Canis lupus familiaris: one gene and its partner. The protein of the gene in region 2 interacts with the protein of the main gene of each other region in a pairwise test. Links are inferred from orthologs where the notes say so. Each region holds a gene or a part of one and is shown on either strand. Other genes may lie near its edges.

What was found.
Region 1: the proteins of TRIP10 (region 2) and SH3BP1 interact in binary tests that used the Homo sapiens proteins (3 or more experiments, as listed by UniProt). The two-hybrid records come from large-scale screens. The link is inferred for Canis lupus familiaris from reciprocal best matches to the Homo sapiens genes TRIP10 and SH3BP1.

What each region holds. Positions count from the first base shown.
Region 1 is NC_049231.1:27,963,812-27,968,182, reverse strand, and holds the start of SH3BP1 (SH3 domain-binding protein 1), read left to right. Parts: upstream 1-1,519; coding exon 1,520-1,578; intron 1,579-2,049; exon of another isoform or gene 2,050-2,292; coding exon of another isoform or gene 2,293-2,300; intron 2,301-2,766; coding exon 2,767-2,815; intron 2,816-3,046; coding exon 3,047-3,151; intron 3,152-4,209; coding exon 4,210-4,286; intron 4,287-4,371. UniProt on the Homo sapiens protein: GTPase activating protein (GAP) which specifically converts GTP-bound Rho-type GTPases including RAC1 and CDC42 in their inactive GDP-bound form.
Region 2 is NC_049241.1:53,950,636-53,955,145, reverse strand, and holds the start of TRIP10 (cdc42-interacting protein 4), read left to right. Parts: upstream 1-1,601; 5' UTR 1,602-1,621; coding exon 1,622-1,741; intron 1,742-3,461; exon of another isoform or gene 3,462-3,537; coding exon of another isoform or gene 3,538-3,561; intron 3,562-4,510. UniProt on the Homo sapiens protein: Required for translocation of GLUT4 to the plasma membrane in response to insulin signaling. Required to coordinate membrane tubulation with reorganization of the actin cytoskeleton during endocytosis.

The DNA of each region.
Region 1 (4,371 bases), on a different chromosome or scaffold from region 2:
CCTGCTGGGCCGGTCTGGCTCTCCCTTCAGGGGCCTGGAGGAGCAAGCAGCCAGCACCCAGTGAGTGCTCGCCCTGTGGCAGGGCCCCTGTCTGAGGCCAAGGTCCTGCCCCCATGAAGTACCCAGTCTGCCTACCCACACACAGTAGGCGCTCAAGTAATCCTCAAACTGAGTTAAAACTCCCAACAAAGCAAAGGCTGGGCAAGACCATACGGCTGTCTCTCCCCCTCCCACTCTCCCTGGGGTCCCTAATGCCGAAGGGGTCCAGGGGTTCAGAGTAAGGAGACCCTACTGTTTCCTAAGGTCCTTTTTTTTTTTTTTTTTTTTTGGTAGATTTAATTTATTCATGAGAGACAGAGAGAGAGGCAGAGACACAGGCAGAGGGAGAAGCAGGCTCTGTGCAGGGAGCTGGATGCGGAACTGGATCCCAGGACCCTGGGATCATGCCCTGAGCTGAAGGCAGACATTCAACCACTGAGTCATCCAGGTGCTCCCCTAAAGTCCCTCATTTTGTATTAACTAACAGTTATGAAGCACCTAGTGTATGCCCAACTGTGTTTTGGGTGGAGGGCCAAGAATCACTACCACTGAGTCTGGGGGCTCAGAGCAGCACTCACCTCACTGTCTTACAAGAGGAAGGGCAAGGATTCACAAAGTCTGCTGGAACGAGAGGCTTTAAGGACGGGGGAGAGAACTGTGCTGGGGCTGGGAAGGAGCTGGATGTCAGGGAGCTGCTCTGGAGGGTGGGGCACCCCCCCCCTTAAAGGGACAACGGGAACAGGCAAGGTTATCTTGTCCGCTCTCCAGGATGGGCAGTTCAGTTGGCCCATCAGACCATTAAAGAGCAAGTCCAGAGTTCTAGTGCCTTGTCCAAGGGCACAAAGCAACACAGTGGCCCCAGGAAGCCGAAGTCCTGGCCAGTCTCCAAAGTCTCCAGTAGGGGAACAGGCAGGGGTCATCTCTAGCTCGAGGTGGCCAGGAGGTCCTTCGGAGAGGAGCCCAGGGCAGCACCCTTCGGCAGGCCCGGGTGCGCCGGCGCGGGCCGGAGAGGCCTGCGGGGCCCTCTTTACCTTTAAGAGGGGTGCGGGACCGAAACCCCGGGCCGGGGGCTGGCGTGGGGCGGAGCCCAGAGTCCGGCCGCGAGGTGGCAGGAGCCGGCTTACCTGCTTCCCGCCACCGGGCGGGGCGGGGCCGGGGGCGGGGCCGGGGGCGGGGCCGCCACCAACCTGTGGACCGCCCGACGAGTCGCGGGGACCGGCCGGGGACCGCGGGGGGCCCGGAAGCCGGGGGCGAGCGAGCAAACAAACTTGGAGAGAGGAGTGACCTGGGGGCCGGGGGCGGAGTCGCCGCGGAGGGGGCGGGAGCGAGCGGCCGCCCGAGCGCCGCCGGCCCAGGAAGCGGAGAGCGCCGCCCACCCATCCGGGGCGAGCGCGGCGCTGCGGGCGCAGGCAGGCTGGGCCGGGGGCTGCCGGGCCCTCGCCCCCCACCGTGACCCCGCGGCCCCCCGCCCGCGCCCAAGATGATGAAGAGGCAGCTGCATCGCATGCGGCAGCTGGCCCAGACGGGCAGCTTGGGACGGTGAGTGTCAACCCTCTCCCTCCCCGCCCCACACTCACCCCCGCCGGACCCTAGCGGCCGTCGAGGGGCGGGGAGGCTGGGGACGGCGGGACAGACACCCTCGGACCGGCCAGAGCCCTGCCGTCGCTCCCCCGCCTCCGAGAGCCACCCCCACGCCCGGCCAGAGCGGGAGGGGCAAGGCCCTTTGGGGAAGGGGGCACCCCCAGCCCTCTGCGTGCAGGGAGGATCAGGGATGCTGGGTCTTCTCGGCCTCCATGAGCCTCTTGAGCGAACGGTCCTTCCTGGCCTCACTTGTCCCCTCTGTACAATGGGGACAGCTAACCATCTCTGGTCGCCTGGAGTGGGGGCGATCGGGGGCAATTGGGGGCGATCGGGCCCCAAACCTTGGGGGAGGAGAGGAGACTAGGTCCCTGTGGTGGGAGGAGGGGCCTCTTGTCCTGCTTTGTGCCTCTCCCCCTCCACCCCACCCCCAGCCCAGAGGCCTCCAGCTTCTCTATCTTGCTTCTGCTTTTCCCAGCCTCAGGTGGAAACATCCCCAGGTCTCTGTTCTCACCAGCTGGCCCCCAGAGCCGGTGGAGTGGAGGCCAGAAGTTTGGGGAGCTCCCAAGGCCTGTCTTCTCTCCTCTTCCCTCTGTGTTGGGAGTTTCCCATTCTCTTGGCCCAGGGGAGGGGACTGAGAGTCCAAAGGCCTGGCTCTAGTCTCCCACCGCATGGATGCCTATGTGAGCCTCGGCAGTCAGGCGCCCTTGCTCTGGGCTTCAGTGTCCCCAAGTGTCCCTGAACAGGGGTTCAGGGCTTGCACACCACTGCAGTCCTGACTCCTGCATGACTGACAGCCCAGGAGTCTGAGCTCGCACACTTCCCGTTCTTGGGGCCTGCCTGGCCTCCTCTCCCCAGGGTCAGCAGAAGAGGCTGGGGTGGCTTCCCAACCTCACCGCCTTGGGTTTCATCCACCCTCTCTCAGGACACAGCCCTGGGTGGAGGAGGAAAAAGCCTCGTATCCTATTCCCGCCCCCATGGAATGTGCTCCGACTGGGATGAGGCTGACAGGCAGGCCACCCAGGGCGGGCCCCAAGAGGAGGGGCCCTGGAAGCAACAGGGGTCCAGGTGCCCTGCTGAGGGGGCAGGGGGAGGCAGGGGGTTTCCTAACCTGGGCGGCCTCAGCAGAAGCTCCTCCCTCCCCCACAGCACCCCGGAGACAGAGACGGCTGAGTTCCTTGGGGAGGACCTGCAGCAGGTACATGCCTGGGCCGGCAGCGGGTGGCAAGGCAGGCCTGTGCAAGCTGTTAGCAGAGGGCCGCGTGAGGACGCCATTTGGGGGACCCGGTTGAGTCATCCCCCAAGCTGTTGGCCATGGTCTCCAGGAGGAGGGAAGAGAAAAGTGGCTCCTGCTCGGGGAAAGAATGGGGCAGTGGGGGGCAGGGGGCAACCACCTCCTATGATCCATAAACCCCGACCCCCTCTCCAGGTAGAGCAGCGCCTGGAGCCGGCCAAGCGAGCAGCCCACAATGTCCACAAACGGCTGCAGGCCTGTCTGCAGGGCCAGAGCGGGGCGGACATGGACAAGCGGGTGGTGAGTGGGGGTCCCAGGGAGTTGGGGCCTGGACAGGACACCTCTGCCCAGTGGGGGAGTGAGGGCAGGGCTGGGGTCTCCCTGCCCATCTGAGTCTCTGGCTCTGAGGGGGTGGGGCCTGCATTGTCCCAAGACCCTTCAGGCACCCCAGTGACACGGCTGTATCTCTTCCCCACCCCCTTCTTGACCCTGGTCCCATCTGCACGGACTCCCCTGAGGCAGAGCCAGGCCTCCTACAGCACCTGAACTTCTCTGTCTGGTCAGCCCCAGAGCGGACCAGAGCAGGCCTCTGAACTGAGGCCGTGTGGGAGGGCTTCCTGAAGGAAGTGGCATTTGGGCTGATATTAATACTCACCGGTATCAATCCACAGCGAGCATTTGTAGACCGGTGACTGCTAGTCTGTTGCTCAGCTGTGTCAACGTGTTGTCTCACTTACCGCTGACGACACCCCTAGGAGGAGGCTGCCCTCATTAGCACTTTGTACAGATGAGGAAATGGACACCAGGAGGTGAAGTCTCAAGGTCACACGACTAATAAGTGGCAGAACTGAGATTTAATCCCTGGTCTTTCTGACCCAAGCTGGTGCTCTTCGTAACTTGTAGGTGGGAGGGTTTTGAGTTCAGCAGTGACTAAGGCCAAGCCACAGATTCCCCTGGGGCAGGGGAACAGCCCCACTCCCAGGGAGCTCCTAGCGCCTCTGTCCTCCTTCCAGCTGTGTGAACTCGGGCAAGCTCCATGCCCCCTCTTCTTAGTTTTCTGGTGTGGGAGGGTACTTGGTCATCCCTTCGTGCTCAGTGGATTCGTTTCTGGGAGGCGAAAAGGGCACCCCAGATGGGACGGGGTGGGGGACATGGTCACAGGGAGATGTCGCTCAGCCATGCCTGGTCATCATCCTGTCTCCACTCCCACCTAAGACTGTGGCCATCTTGGCTTCCCTGCTCCCCTGTCCATGCTCAGTGCCTCAGTGGGGCTCCGTCCCCGAGGAACTGTCTACATGCTTGGGTGGGGTGGAGGGAGACCCAGCAGGTGCTCACAGCCCGGCCTGCCCTTCCTGCAGAAGAAGCTCCCCCTCATGGCTCTGTCCACCACGATGGCCGAGAGCTTCAAGGAGCTGGACCCCGATTCCAGCATGGGGTGAGCACAGACAGGGCCCCGTCCCTCACCCAGAGATGCCAAAGGGGGATCTGAGCTGGGAGGGGGTCCAGGTGTGGAAGGGCGT
Region 2 (4,510 bases):
ACATCTGTAAGGTTGGGTTTACAGGTGTAACATTTGCACAGCATCCCTGAGAGGTGGCTGTGAGAGAACGGACCCATGGAAAGTGCTTTGCCTGGTTACCTGGTACTCAGTGGCCATTCAAAAAAAAAAAAAAAATGCTGGCTACTCGTTCCGACTGCGGGAACTGGGGATATCTTGTGCACTGGTGTGCCCTCCCTCCACCAACCCCCGCTCAGGGTTGCACATATTGCACGAGGCCTTATTATTCCCATGTTACAGATGAGGACACGGAGGCTCAGAGAGGCCAATGGATTTGCCCAAGATCCCATGGATGAGAGGCTGAGCCACCTCTCATCGGCGTGGTGGTGGTGGTGGTGGTGGGGTGGTGGGGTGGTGGCAGGAAACTTGTGCGCCTCGCCCTCCTCCAGCAAAGTCCTCAAAGCCCCTCACCAGCGGGGTCTCCTCTTCTGTCTCCCGGAGGCCCAGCCGCAGGAGGCTCAGGTCCACCTCCAGGGAGCCATTGGCGTAGAAGCCGAAGCTGTTCAGCGGGATCTCGGCTCGCTTCTCCCCCTGCCGGAGACCAAGGAGGCAGAGGCAGCTCAGACCTCTCCCCACCAGCCCAGCCCCACGGCTCTGGCGCGAGGTGGCAACAGGGTGGCCCCAGCTCCTCCAGCCGCTGCTCTGCGAGTCCAGGAAGGGAAAGCCCAGGGGCACCTGGAAGTCTGGGCAGCGGGTGAGCACCACCCCAAAAGCGGAGTTCTTCATCTTGGTGTGCGGAGCCCCGACCCCCCAGACAAGTGTGAGCTTCCAAGATCCCAGCGAGTGCCCAGGGGACCCGGTTCTACGAGCCCCGGGGACTCCCCCAGGGCCCCAGCGCCCCAGAGCGACCCCGAGGATGCACACACAGGACTAAAAGTTGGGGCTCCCGGGGGGGGTGAAGTCCTACCCCCTAGTGGGTGGGGCACGACCCTAGCGGGGGCGGCCCCGCAGCCCCAAGCGGGGACCGAGGGGGACTCCTCGGACGAGACCACTCGGGGCCTGGAAGCGGGGGGGCGGCGGACCGCTCCATCCCGCGTAAGCAGAGGGGGAGGTAGGACGAGACCACTCCAAACCAGGGGCTTCTTGGGGACAGAACTGCGCCCCCCGCCGCCGCCCGCCGCGCGGAGGGACTCACCGTCAGCGCCAGCCGGTGGATGCGCCCAGAGCAGCTGTCCAGGAGCAGCAGCAGCAGTAGCCGCTGCCCCCACTCCGCGGGGCTCCGGCGGGCGAGCCCCCTCCTCTCGCTCACTGCCATCTCTGGAGCCGCCGCCTCCCCCGACACCGCCTCTGACGCCCCCACCCGCCGACGGGTGAGCCAATCGCCGCACGGCGGGGGCCGTCCCTCCGGCGGGTCCCGCGCGTCTAGCCAATCAGCCACCGCTTCCTCGGAAATCCGCACCGTCCCCCTCGCACGACGCCAGATGGACATCGCCAGCTCCGAATGGGCCGCCTCCGCCGTCACCAATCACTAGGGAGACTGTGCTGATGCAATTGGCTCAACAGTCCACCTAACCAGTGCTGCTGGACCCGATATCCCGCCCCTGAAGCGGAATTCCTCCACCCACGCCCAACTGAAGATCGGTCCAGGACTACATTACCCAGAATGCAGGAAGACCAGACAGCGCAACAGGGCACGCAAAAACTACATTTCCCAATGTCCCTCAGGACGGACTTCCCCTCTTTACCCTGGGGAGGTGGCTCCCAGCCAGAGCACAGGCTTTTGGTAAACACGCACGTCTGCCGAGGCCTGTCCTGTTCTAATCTTGCTGATCCAGGAAGGCCGAAACCTAGCCCCAGGCTCAATCTTGACCCTAGGATGACCTATGACCCTGGGCTGAATTCCAGCCTTAGGCGGAGACTCTTCTAACCCTAGAGTGAGGCAACTAGAAACCCACCCACAGATCCCAAGCTGGAGGTGTCCACGGGGACGGGGGCTGAACCGGGCTGAGTCCTTAGCTGCAACTGAGCCCGGACATCAACCTGAAATCCAGACTTCCCCACTCCCTTCCGACCCTCGACCTACGCTGAGCCTGAGCGTTAATCTCTGGTTGAGCCCTCCCAACCTGGACGGAGCCCTGACCCCAGACGAGGCCTGACCGCTGGACCGTAGTTTGTGGCCACGACCCCCTAGTGGGTTGCTGACCCCTCCGCTAAGCTGACCCCAGGTTGAGATCCTATCCCAACTGTGGTGCCGACTTGGAACGAATCCCAATTCCAATTTGAGTTTGATGCCAGTGTGGAGACTCTAATACCAGGCTAAGCGGCTGAGAGCAGAACTCACGCTGAGCCCCTGACTCAGCTGGTCCCCCAAACCCTGGAGCACAGCCCACTTTGCAACAGGATGTTTTCTAGCTCAGAAGCCACCAGCAGGTGGGGCCAGGTCCCCACAGAGCCATCTGTCCCAGGATTTCAGGCTGATGTCCCCTGGGCTCCTGGGGCTCCCCTCCTGGAAGCCCAGAAGCTTGGGGCCTAACTTGTGCCCCAGGGGCTCCGGGGCGTCTGTCACCTCCGTTGGCACTAAGGACTAAAGGCAGGAGAGGATGAGGGTGGGAGCTGCAGGGTTCTCTACCCTTTCATCTCAGTGCCTTAAGGAGATTAATGAGGTGTGAACAGGCATTTATGAGGGAAGTGACAGACTTCTGTGCCCCCAGGGCCCGAGTGTCTGGAGGGAGAGGTGGAGTCGGAACCGGGGTCTGGACAGTGAAACCTGATTGGGTCTAAACGGATGCGCCTGGAAAATGGGCAGGTGGAAGCGCGAACTGGATGAGGACCGAGGAAAGACCTGGGCCCGGTGCCCCAAGGACAGCCCGTCCTCAGTTTCCCGGCGCAGACTTCGGGAGGAGGGAGAAGGCAGGATGCGGTGGGGGTGCTAATGGACCGGGCCTTGGCGGAGGCACGCGTTCTGGGCAGGATCGAAGTCCTCCCATCCGCCCTGTGGCCGGAGGGAACCAGACCATTAGTGGGCCGAGCATAGATGTCTGGAGCCGGGCCGGCCCGCAAGAGCGGGGTGACCTCAGGTTCTCCCAGCGACGGCGGGGGGGGGGGGGGGGGGGGGGGGGGGGGGTGCGGGAAGGGGTGGCTGGTGGTGGGGGAAGGACCTCTCGGGTTGGGGTTTTAATGTCTTGGTCCCTCTAAGGAATGGTTGAAGGAAAGAGAAAACAACAGTCCCAGGCGACTTAGGGGTGGGGAGGATAAGAGGGGTCCGGGGGATTTGGGAAATGGATGGGGGTCCTTTAAGGGGTCGGTCCAGTGGCGTCTAGTGGCAACTTTCCTTTAAGAGGGGGCGGGGCGTCCGTTGGGCCCCGCCTCCTCGGGGGTCCCGCCTTTAGGGCGCTGTTCGGGCCTCCGCGCAGATGGGGGCGTGGCAGGGCCTGCGGGGGCGGGGCCGGGCCTGGGGGGGCGGGGCCTGGCGGGCTGGGCCGGGCGCGCCGCTCCAGGCTGAGTCTCCCGGCGGCGGGCGGCGGGCGGCGGGCGGCGGGGACCGGGCGCGGCGGCGGCGGCGGCTTCGGCGGGAGCAGCATGGATTGGGGCACCGAGCTGTGGGTGAGTCCGATCGGCCCGGCTTCCAAGTTTCTCCTTTTCTGGAGTTCAGACCCCCCCTCCTTTGCTCCTGCACGACCTTAGCGGGGGCTCGGCGCTTTCCCCTTCGGAGACCCCCGGAGTCCCCGCTTTCCGCCCTCCCTCGGAGTTGCCCAGGGCGTTTCAGGACGCCCGGGGCGAAGGGCGACCTTGCAGCCGCCGAGTCGGGAAACTGAGCGCGGGGTTCCGAGTGAGGAGGGCAGGAGTCCTGGGACCAGGCCGGGGCGGCCGGGCGAGGTCACCTATTTTGAGCACCCTGGCTGGGCCGGCGGCTTATCTTACGGCCCCTGGGTCCCTGCCCGCAGCCCGCCTGTCCGGCTTGGGCGGGGGAGGGGACCCTGTGGCCACTTCCAAGCCCACGTGGGACCTGGAAGTTCTGACCGCCTTTCGGAGGCTCCAATCAACACCTTGGGGCTTGGGTCGCGCTAGGGGGGAGGGGGCTGCGAGGCTTGGCCTCGCAGCCCCCTCCCCCATCCCGCCCCAGGCACTGGGAGGGGCCGCCCCCAGGCTGCTTCTGACCTCTGCTCTGGAAGCCCCAGAAATTTCCCCTTATTCTAGCCAGGACCTCTGACCCCTCCTTTTTATGGGGGCGGTGGCATCCCTGGGTTCCTGGATGCAGAGGGGGTAACCAGATTCCTTCCCCCACAACTCTGGAATTTCTTTCGGAGGTGCAGTGGGGTCAGTGGGGGAAACGGAGTCACGTGTGTGCGGGGGACCCCGGGAAGCATGGCGACCCGGGGAACATGGTGCCTGGCCCCTGGACATTCTGGGGCCCCCCGAGCTGCGGCGAATCCTGCCCCTCTGGTCCTGACTCACGCCGGGCCGGCCGGATTTTCCGGAATCTTGGGAGGGGGGATTAGGGGAGCCGGGGCAGGGGGGAGTGGCCCTGCCCCATTCCACACCCCTCTTGGCG